3 linked regions of the Mus musculus genome follow. The protein of the gene in region 1 interacts with the protein of each later gene in a biochemical or structural test. Links are inferred from orthologs where the notes say so. Each region holds a gene or a part of one and is shown in the gene's direction. Other genes may lie near its edges.

Region 1 (3,651 bases):
TTGTTCTCCTCAGCCCATGTGTAACAAGAGGAGTGTTTAGGGGCTTCTTAGTTGACTTTCTTCTTGCCTAACAAGATAACTTTATTTTCATTTTAGAATGATTTTAAATCTTGAGATGAAATTATATAATTCTTGAGCCTAGTCTATCAGCTCTAATCCCCAAGTTCAAGGCAGCTAGCCTGGTATTGTACTAGTCCAGCTATGGAATGTGAGCAGCCATAGCAAAGAGCTATGGGAATGAAGGCCAGGTCTGGCCACTTTCACGAAACAGGCCCATCTGTAGGTTACACAGCTCATACCAGTGTCTCTAATACTGGTAAAAGGCTTGTGTCTCTGGCATATGGCTCTCAATCTGTGGTTTATCACTTGAACCTGAATCCATACACTTAGAGGACTATTCCACTTATCTCTAGAAGTTCTAGAATCAATCATTCCAAAACAATGCCCCCATCTGTGGCCGAGACTTCTAGACATAAGCTGATGGCACAAGAAGGAAGTGGATGCGATGCATTAGTGACATAGTAGTCTCGCTGTGGCTGGGAAGAACGTGTGGATTCTTTTCTCCAGAGGTGGCTCTTTCCCCACCCCCAACCCCATTCCTGTTTTTAATATGAACTCACTGTCTTGTGCATGCTAGCACTCGGCTACTGAGCTGTGTCGCAGCCCCAAGATATTTTATTATAATCCAGTCCTTTAAAAGATGTGGCCTTTGTGCATCTCAAAAATCCCTTCCTTTCAGGGCTAGAGAGGTTGAGAGCACTGACTGCTGTCCCAGAGGACCCAAGTTCCATTCCCAGCTCACAGCTGTTCAGGCACACACACAAGCATTCAGACAAAGCACCCAGGTGCATAAATTAAATAAATGTTAGAAAATACTTGTTTTAATTCTTTCTTTTCATTGTTTCATGATCTTACACTACTGAAATGTCTTTTTGGAGTGGAGGGGGTTATATGCCCCTTGCTTAAATGGAGAGCGTGGCCAAGCTGATTTACCCATTTTGACCATGCCATCTGAAGTCCCAGCAGATCAGAACCACTGTGTATACAATCTGTATGTGTATGCATACAAGCTCATCAGCTCACTCTGCTTCTCTCTCTCCTCAGGGGTCTGACGAAGGCAGCAGCCCTCAGGATCCTGTATGACACTACATCATGAGTGACAGTAAAAGCGATGGTCAGTTTTACAGTGTGCAGGTGGCGGACTCAACTTTCACTGTTCTAAAACGTTACCAGCAACTGAAACCGATCGGCTCTGGAGCCCAAGGAATTGTTTGGTAAGTCTGGGCTGTTCTAATAGCACAGACGAAGCCTTTAGTAAAAAGTGAAACTACTGAGTAAGACTTTAGTAGCACTGATTAAAAAAATAATCTCTCTTGTAGAATTTGAGCTAAACTAAATCAGTCCTTGCTGTAGTTATATACAGTCATGTGTAGGATACAAACTCAATTTTTCATTTGCTCTGTTGTTGGCTTTATTGATTTATTTGTTTGTTATCTTTTCATTTGCCTTGCCATTATGATATCAGAATGATTGGTGTAACCGGAATTTGGCGTTTTATTCATTTCTTCATCATGGCCACCTTCTCCCCCCTCCTCCTTTTATTCCCAATCACTCCTGTTCATTTCCAGGCGCCATCATTGCAGTGCCTTGCCATTCAATGGCAGGATGAGGCCAGGCAGTGTCATTATCACACCATGGATTAACCAGGAAGGGATGCTGTGTGAGGGGTTGGGCTGGCCGTCTCTTCTTTGGTGTCTCTCTTCAACTATGTGTCCAGCCCAGGACGTCAGAACCATTAGTCTGACCCTGAACCTTAGGCTCTTGCATGGTAAGACAGTCAGCTGCTGCGACATCACTGGCCAGACAAAGGTAACGTTTCTCACGTGTTTTCTAGACCTCTGTTGTCAGCACCTCCCAAACTTTTTAGTCTGTAGTGTTCTGAACAAAGCTTTTTTTCCCCCCTGCTAATCAACAAGATTATTTTTTGTCTTTAAAAGAAATTGCGATTGCTGGTGATTGCCGGGTGTGGTGGTTCATGCCTTTAATCCCCATACTTGGGAGGCAAAGGCAGGTGATCTCTTTGAGTTCAAGGCCAACCTGGACTACAAAGTGCATCCAGGACAGCTAGAGCTACACAGAAAAACCCTCTCTCAAAAACCCAGAATATATAAATAAAATACTGTGATAAGATAAAAACATTTCATGTTTATAACTGGTAGGCCAAGAGAATTGAAAATGAAAGAACTCTCCCAGGCATTCTGGGAGGAGAGCTTTGGTTTCCTGTGACGACACTGAGCCTAGCGTCATCAGTGGGTTCAGCTGAGACTCCGCTGCAGACTGATCAGGGAGACCTGCCTGCTCTTTTCCTCAGTGAGGGCAGCCGGGGCCCTGGTGCTCGGGATTGCAGATTAGGAGGCTCAGAGGAGAGACTGAGGAAGGAGAAGGCGCTACATGAAAGAGTGTGTGCACAGTGGGGGCTTAACAGTGAAAATGTGCTTTAGTGCAGATAGAATGTCCTTTCTCTCAACTGCTCAGGAGCAGAGTATTTCTGAGTTTAGACTTTTCTCACATTTTTCAGTATTTGTGTTTACTGATAGGCATCTGTAATTCCAAAATCTGAAATCTGAAATTCTCCAAAATCTAGCACCATGATAGAAAATTATAGAAAGAATATTATATATTTGCTTGATTGTAACCTTTCTTATTTGGAATTAATAATTTGATAAGAGGATTGCCGAAGGGGAACAGGAATTACTTTGGGGGCGTTTACTTTAGTGAAGTGAATAGTGTATATTATATAACCATGCCATCCTCCGTGACCCTCTCTGTATATGTAATGCAGTTGAGGACAAGGAAGGCTCATTGACTTTTGTCTCCCATGGGTTCAGGGGGTAGGTCTAGGTCTAAAGCAGTTGTTGGTGTCTTGGGACTTTAATTCACTTAGTTAAAGCTTGATGACTTTGAATCACTGATATTTTTTATATGACCAGGGCTCTGACCCAATCTCTGTTCAGGATCTTCATAATGATGAATAAATCAATATTAATAAAATTCCTTAGAATCTCTCAATAAATTATATTCATCTCCATAGGACACTGATTACATTCAAGAACTGTGTAGGGCTAGAGAGGAAGCTCAATGGTAGAGCACTTGTCTAGCATGTGAAAGTACCTGAGTTTCTTGCCAGCACCAAACAGAAACATGTATACATATGTATGTTATATGTATTTAAATATACATACATGAATTTGTGCACATGTATATATATTCATGTGTACATACTTATATATATATTTATATATATACTTGAATACATATGCAGACATATACAGATATACCCATACATACCTACATATACATACATATGTACACACATGCTTCCATACACATATATATATATATATATATATATATACATATATGTGTGTATGTATGTGTATACATATATATGTATATATACTCACTTTAATTTTATAACTGTAGCTGAGAGTTTTATAGTACCCACCCACCTTAAGTTCTAACATAGGAAAGTAAAACTTCAGAAGTGATTGTACCTCTCCCCTCCCCCTTTCTACTTTTGTATTTATCCTTTGGTATCAGATAGGATAGGAGGGTGATCTGGTAATGGCACATTCCTATAAAACAAACCAA
Region 2 (3,751 bases), on another chromosome or scaffold:
CTTTATGCTTTACTCTCTTTTGTCGCCTTTAGAACCTTGGCCCTGCTCCTCACAATTCCTTTTCCTAGATATTTGTATCTGTGCCCTTTGTCTTACCATAAAGAATGGACTGAATGGGCTGAAGATGAGATTCAATTGGTAGCATGCTTGCCTGTCACACATGAAACTTAAAATTCAGTCCCCAGTACTGTGTACATAAGCTAGGTGTGTGGCACACCTGTGACTTCAAGAGATAGAGGCAGAAGGATTTAAGTTTAAGGTAATCCTGGGCTACATGAGACACTTGAAACAAATTTTTACAGTTCCAGTTCAAAGTAATTTGTTTCCATGGCCGTCAGCTTTTTACTTCAGATCTTAAGGTTTATTGTCTCTCACAGTCCAGTGGTCATCCAGGTACCCTAAATAACACTACTGCCCAACCCTTGACTTGGTCCCTAAATCGTAGTTCTAATAGTTCTACTTTCAACAGTATGCAGAGATCCTGCCCTCCCTGCTACAGCCCCTACAGTCCCTAGGTTTAAGTCCAGTCATAGATCACTAAGAACCTAAATCCACCCTTACAACTGACTGTGGCTAGACTCTGCCCTTGTAGACAGTTAATTTCCACCTCTCATATACATTTCCTCTGTATATCCGGCAGCCATTCCGGCCTCCACCTTTTGCTGAATTCAAAGTTAGTTTTTGCCTAGCTAATTACCCATAGCGTTACCCTACCCCCCTCCACAGAGTTGAGTCCTACCCTGCTGCTATGGCCCTTTCTAAATAAGTCCTGTTTCTGCTGAACGGTATGGTGTACAGCACCACCTACTTTGGTGTTTTGGCCACTGTCTGGGAGAATCCTCCAATCAGCTGAAAACAGCCCATCACCACCCCTCCATCCTCTGGGACTGTCTGTCTGCCATCAATCTCACTTAAGCCAATCGGTGTGAACTGGGCGACCTCCCCATCCCTCCTCAAACCTTGGCACTTGGCAGTCCTCCTTGACCCAATCGGCGTGAGGCACTAGCGCCGCCCAACACCTCTATAGATTCAGTTGGCCACCCGCAGTCCATCAATCCCTTTTAAGCCAATTGTGTTACAGCTCTGTTAGTATTCCTCCACCACCCAGGCCCCTGTGCTTAGGATCCTTGGCATTTTGTCCAATCAGCAAGCAGGAGGACGCTTGGCTCCTCCCATGAGAGCCCACGTGAGCGGTGGGGAAACGCAGGGGCGGCTTCTGGTTGCTGCTTCTGCTGTCGCCGCCACCACCGCCGCCGCCTTGGAACCGGGGCCTGGGGGGCGGTGGGGCCTCGTATGGAGCCCCCGCCCCCCGGAGCTGCCACTGCCACCGCCGCGCCACTCGCAGGTGAGCCCAGGCCCACAAGGTGGAGGACCCTGTCCATGACCCCACGTATCCTCACCCCCGCGCAAGGGATGTGGTTTGGCCCAGCCTGCTGGTATTTGGCTCCACTACCATCAACTGATTGCCCCTGTGTGTGCATTGCCTGCTCCTTTTGCCCTTTATAGTAGATCTGAACGTGGGCTAACATCCTGCTGTCTGTATAATGGATCTGTCTGTGAGCTTATGATTTTCCCCACCCCAACTTAATGGACTCGTCCGTGGTCTTGCCCTCCCCAACCCCCACTTATTGGAAACCAGTCTGTTGCATTGTCCAGTCCCCCTTTAGTCGTAGCTGTGTCTAAAGTGTTTCCATTTCCCCTAGCCTCAAATTTAAGGGGAACCTTCTGTGGCTTTGTTTACTGAACCCCTCATGTTTATTGTAGTGAATCAATCTGTGGCACTGTTCCCACTTAAGACACCCCATTGTTTGTTCAACAGTGAGTCCACCTAAGTTTACATTATTGCCCCCCTTGAGTCCCCAGTGCATAAGCCCATGACTTTATCCACCTCCTCCCATTGCCCCCATCTTACTGTGAATTAGTTTGCATGCTTGCATTCATATTCCTCTAGTTATCACCGCCCTAACTTTTCTCCCTTATTTGTAGACTCCAGTCTTTGAGCTGCTTCCTTTTAACAGTGGGTCAGTTTGGTGCTTTGCAATTTTTATTTTCATTTTCAACAGCCCAGTCTATGGCCTTGTCCTATCCTTCACTTTAATTAATTATTATGTGATGGCTTTTCTTCTCTGCGGTTGTATAGGTATCAGCTTAAACCACATCTCACTTTTGTAATGAATGAGTCTGTTCAGAAGCCTTCTGCCACCCCAGTGTTTACAGTCTCTCAAATCCTCAGAGCTTGCAATCCCTCCCCAAAGGGGATAGATAGGCTTTGTACTTTATTTCCCTCCTCCTCCTCCTATGTATTGGGTCAGTCTTCTCTGCCCCCATCTCCTAGGAAGTCCTGTGTACTTGTAAAACCCAGGGACTTTTAATATATGCCATGTTCCTCATAAACTCTCTTTTTGTTTGTTTGTTTTTTGTTTTGTTTTTGTTTTTTGTTTTTTTTTCAAGACAGGGTTTCTCTGTATAGCCCTGGCTGTCCTGGAACTCACTCTGTAGACCAAGCTGGCCTCGAACTCAGAAATCCGCCTGCCTCTGCCACCCAAGCGCTGGGATTAAAGGCGTGTGCCACCACTGCCCAGCCCTCATAAACACTCTTAGCCACTAGGCATTTTACTTTGCTATAGTTCTCAACTATAGTAGTGGTACTATTGCTAATGACAGTCGGATCTAACTTTATACTTTACACTTGCTGTGTACCAGGCAGTATTCTATAGTCTCCAGCTTGCTTATAGTCTCCAGTCTTCATCATAGCCCTGTGAGACAGATAACTGAGAAAACTAGGGCATGTGGGTTCACAGATGGCCCAATAACTACTTAGATAGGGGAACACTTTTGACATGCCCCTCTCTCACCTCATTGCATCCCATATGAGGGCACATTCCTTAACAGCCAAATTAGTTTCAATCACCCAGCTTTTGTTTCTGCTGTTCTTTCTGACAACAGAGCTGTCTCCATTCTACTCTGTTCTCAGGACCCATCAGCTCAAGTCCTAGCAGTGGTGTGACTTTACATGAATGACTTAACTACTTTCTTCCTGTACTGGGCTAAAATGGGGGAGTCAGAACTATAGCCTTTCCAGTGTGAAAAAAATGTGTGGGTTAAACAAGTCACCTCACTGACCTTATCTCTTTCATCTCCACATTTCAGATCCATGCTATAGCCATGCTAACCTCACTGCTTCTCAAAAACAGCCGGTACAGGCCAGCCTCAGGGCCTTTGCATTAGCTCTTCTTTCTCCATTAACACTACTCCCACATCTCTGTATGGTAACTTTCAAGGTACTGTACACTTGCCATACCCAAAGGAATTTTTTCACTACCCTGTGCAGGGAACACACTAAAGATATTTGTAAGAATGTCATTTGATTTGTGAATAAAATGAGCGTAAAGGAAATGTGATGTTGGTGATATGAAAAGGCACAAATAGAAAAGATGTTTCAGAGAGTGCTTTCATGTCTTTGCATCTTGGGTAGTGTAATTTTAGTAAAACATGTATTTGTCACACTGGTGCTTGGGATATAATGTATAAAGGTATATACATAAAAAGGTTTCAAATATCATTTTTTGTATCAAAGTAGTCAACACCCACCTCTCTTTGACTATCTGATTTTGTATACCGAGCAGGGTTCAGATCTCTTTCCTGCTTGCTTTGGCCCTTTATACTCTGTCATGGTTAGACATGCTATATAGCTTATATAAATAGATATCTGTCTATCCTCCTCAGAATAAACATCCTATGGGAACTTACA
Region 3 (3,751 bases), on another chromosome or scaffold:
GTTGCCTTGGTGACGAGGCCCCGCTCCCAGGCTGCATCCCCCTCCAGCCGGCCAATGGAACAGTCCTCGGCTGCCAGGCTTATTAGTCGCCGATGGTTGCAGGCTGAACCATTTCTAGATGGGGGAGATCAGACTATGACTAGAAGCGTCTGTAGCTGGGTTGTGACTTCCCCAAGGGTCGCTTGCCGAGGTTCCTCTTCCCAGGCGCAGAATTTGGCAGGCCCAGGGTAGGGTGCACCATCCCCTAGGCTCACAATGACGAGACAGGGCCGGGCTCTTTCCCCCTCGGGGCTGTTGCCACACTTCCTGCCTCGGCTCTCTTTCCCTAGCCTGTTTCTAAGGAAGGGAGTGGGGTTGGGCGACCGCACCCCAGCTATCCCGCCCCATCGGCCCTCCAAAAGCTGACAGGATATCGGGCGAGCCCCGGGTGACTAAGGGAGGGCTTTGGGCTGAGGTACTGGGCATGTCAGTGCCCTAGGGACCACCTACGAGGTACAGCCTCATTCGTACAAGTCCTGGTCTCTGGGATCCTCCGAGTCATCTTCTCAGGAAGATCTCAGATACCCTCCTGTCATTGCCTTCATAGCTCGGAAGGAAGCTATGTCGTGACCATTTTAATTCTCTGCCAGAGTTCTGCAAATATCCACAATGACCCCAACCTTTGCTAGATATGTTCCCATCTTTCTACTCCGATTACCTCAGCGTCCCCAGGACCTTTGTTCTGAATATCTAAATTGACCTCCCCAAAATTCCTTCCCTTTTCCACTTATGGGGAAACCCTCAGACTCATCTATGGACTCTAGAGCCCCTACTCATTTCTTGTACAATAGGTACCTGAGCCCTGTTGTGTCTTGGCCCTTTCCTCCCAACTGACAATTCCAGTTCTTTAAGCACTTTGTACCCGGGACCTCTGGTTAATTCCTAGGCCAAATGTTAACAATTGCCCCTGTTTTGTATCTTCTCTGTTTTCTGGGGTCTTCTACTGTATTGTCAGTTCACAAGCCACAGCTACCCTGGGTCCCACGAGACTTTTCCGGGGATATCCTAAGGTATCCAATCTCCACTTGCAGTGTATCTCATAAGCACCTGGCTGTACTCCCGCAGTTCTAGCCCCTATGTGCCTCGGCCCCTCAACATCCCTTTGCTTGTGTGTCTCTGTCTCCACAGCCCCTCCCCCTGCAGCCGCGCAGAGCCACCCGGCTCGTGGCCGCTGTTTACAAGGACACGCGCTTCCTGACAGTGACGCGAGCCGCCTCCTCCCCTTCCCCACGCTCTAGGAGGGGGCCGCGGGGGCCTGGCTCCCGCGTCGGCCAATCGGAGTGCACTTCCGCAGCTGACAAATTCAGTATAAAAGCTTGGGGCTGGGGCCGAGCACTGGGGACTTTGAGGGTGGCCAGGCCAGCGTAGGATCCTGCTGGGAGCGGGGAACTGAGGGAAGCGACGCCGAGAAAGCAGGCGCACCACGGAGGGAGAGAAAATCTCCGGAAGCCCAGCAGCGCCTTTACGCACAGCTGCCAACTGGCCGCTGCTGACCGTCTCCAGCTCCCGAGGACGCGCGACCGGACACCGGGTCCTGCCACAGCCGAGGACAGCTCGCCGCTCGCCGCAGCGAGGCCCGGGGCGGCCCTTCAGGGGGACCTTTCCCAGATCGCCCAGGCCGCCCGGATGTGCACGAAAATGGAACAGCCTTTCTATCACGACGACTCTTACGCAGCGGCGGGATACGGTCGGAGCCCTGGCAGCCTGTCTCTACACGACTACAAACTCCTGAAACCCACCTTGGCGCTCAACCTGGCGGATCCCTATCGGGGTCTCAAGGGTCCTGGGGCGCGGGGTCCAGGCCCGGAGGGCAGTGGGGCAGGCAGCTACTTTTCGGGTCAGGGATCAGACACAGGCGCATCTCTGAAGCTAGCCTCCACGGAACTGGAGCGCTTGATCGTCCCCAACAGCAACGGCGTGATCACGACGACGCCCACGCCTCCGGGACAGTACTTTTACCCCCGTGGGGGTGGCAGCGGTGGAGGTACAGGGGGCGGCGTCACCGAGGAGCAGGAGGGCTTTGCGGACGGTTTTGTCAAAGCCCTGGACGACCTGCACAAGATGAACCACGTGACGCCCCCCAACGTGTCCCTGGGCGCCAGCGGGGGTCCCCAGGCCGGCCCAGGGGGCGTCTATGCTGGTCCGGAGCCGCCTCCCGTCTACACCAACCTCAGCAGTTACTCCCCAGCCTCTGCACCCTCTGGAGGCTCCGGGACCGCCGTCGGGACTGGGAGCTCATACCCGACGGCCACCATCAGCTACCTCCCACATGCACCACCCTTTGCGGGCGGCCACCCGGCACAGCTGGGCTTGAGTCGCGGCGCTTCCGCCTTTAAAGAGGAACCGCAGACCGTACCGGAGGCACGCAGCCGCGACGCCACGCCGCCTGTGTCCCCCATCAACATGGAAGACCAGGAGCGCATCAAAGTGGAGCGAAAGCGGCTGCGGAACAGGCTGGCGGCCACCAAGTGCCGGAAGCGGAAGCTGGAGCGCATCGCGCGCCTGGAGGACAAGGTGAAGACACTCAAGGCTGAGAACGCGGGGCTGTCGAGTGCTGCCGGTCTCCTACGGGAGCAAGTGGCGCAGCTCAAGCAGAAGGTCATGACCCATGTCAGCAACGGCTGCCAGTTGCTGCTAGGGGTCAAGGGACACGCCTTCTGAGAGCCTCCCTTGCCCCATACGGACACCCCCAGCCTTGAAGGCTGGGCGCCTGCCCCCCACTGGGGTGAGGGGGGCAGGCGATGGGCACCCGCCAAAAGGCCTGGGGCGCAGCTCACACACTGGACTCCGGCCCGCCCGCCTGCGCCCAGTCCTTCCACCTCGAGGTTTACATGGCCCCCTTCCAGCGTATTTTGTATGTTTTTTTTTTCTGCAAAGAGACTGAATTCATATTGAATATAATATATTTGTGTATTTAACAGGGAGGGGAGAAGGGGGCTGTCGCGGCGGAGCTGGCCCCGCCGCTTGGTACTCAGCCTGCGGGGATACTAGGGAGGGACCTCCGCCCCCTGCCCTCCCCCTCTGCATAGTACTGTGGAGAAGAAACACGCACTTCGTGTCTAAAGTCTATTTTAAGATGTGTTTGTGTGTGTGTGTTTGACTTTTTATTGAATCTATTTAAGTAAAAAAAAAATTGTCTTTATTAATTTCTGTGGTCTCTTTTTTCTTCCAAGCTGGGCGGATGGAGGGAGAAGATTGGGCTACCCCAAGCACGGTGCTGTTTGTAGCTCGCTCCTTTCAGGTATCATAAGGTTCAGTACAAACGCCCAGACCTCCTATCCCCTGAGTCCTGGCACCAGACGCTGCGCAGGCGGGCAGTGGCGGGGAACAAGCTACCCAGGACAAAACGCGGAATGTGCAAGCATGACCCCGCCCAGCAGAGTGCGCCGGGGCTTTCCCCGCTGACGTTACGGAAGCTCTGCCCATATATGGGCCTATTCAGCTCAGTGACGCCAGCGCGGTCTCCGGGCAGATTCCGGGAATCCCCTCCCCCCCGCTCTGCCGGGCAGGGCCGCGGCGCCGGGAAGGGGGCCGGGATTTTCCCGAGCAGGCGGCTTTCTGGGCGCGGAAAGCCCCAGGCCCGGGTCCAGGGCGCCCGCGGCGGGAGGGCCGTGCTCTCATGAGCCCTGGGAGCCATCCGAGCGGCTTTCAACAGACCGGCGCCGGAGCCCCACCGCGCCCACGCCCCCTCCATTAGACCGACCCTGGCGGA

Evidence for each region. The genes of interacting proteins can lie anywhere in the genome.
Region 2: of the proteins of Mapk9 (region 1) and Elk1, one has a biochemical effect on the other in vitro, tested with the Homo sapiens proteins (2 studies listed by BioGRID). The link is inferred for Mus musculus from reciprocal best matches to the Homo sapiens genes MAPK9 and ELK1.
Region 3: the proteins of Mapk9 (region 1) and Junb form a complex in vitro, tested with the Homo sapiens proteins (2 studies listed by BioGRID). The link is inferred for Mus musculus from reciprocal best matches to the Homo sapiens genes MAPK9 and JUNB.

What each region holds. Positions count from the first base shown.
Region 1 is NC_000077.6:49,853,109-49,856,759, forward strand, and holds part of Mapk9 (mitogen-activated protein kinase 9), read left to right. Parts: intron 1-1,104; 5' UTR 1,105-1,152; coding exon 1,153-1,274; intron 1,275-1,628; exon of another isoform or gene 1,629-1,825; coding exon of another isoform or gene 1,826-1,869; intron 1,870-3,651. UniProt on the Homo sapiens protein: Serine/threonine-protein kinase involved in various processes such as cell proliferation, differentiation, migration, transformation and programmed cell death.
Region 2 is NC_000086.7:20,948,034-20,951,784, reverse strand, and holds the start of Elk1 (ETS domain-containing protein Elk-1), read left to right. Parts: upstream 1-1,176; 5' UTR 1,177-1,345; intron 1,346-3,751. UniProt on the Homo sapiens protein: Transcription factor that binds to purine-rich DNA sequences. Forms a ternary complex with SRF and the ETS and SRF motifs of the serum response element (SRE) on the promoter region of immediate early genes such as FOS and IER2.
Region 3 is NC_000074.6:84,976,344-84,980,094, reverse strand, and holds Junb (transcription factor jun-B), read left to right. Parts: upstream 1-1,346; 5' UTR 1,347-1,665; coding exon 1,666-2,700; 3' UTR 2,701-3,186; downstream 3,187-3,751. UniProt on the Homo sapiens protein: Transcription factor involved in regulating gene activity following the primary growth factor response. Binds to the DNA sequence 5'-TGA[GC]TCA-3'.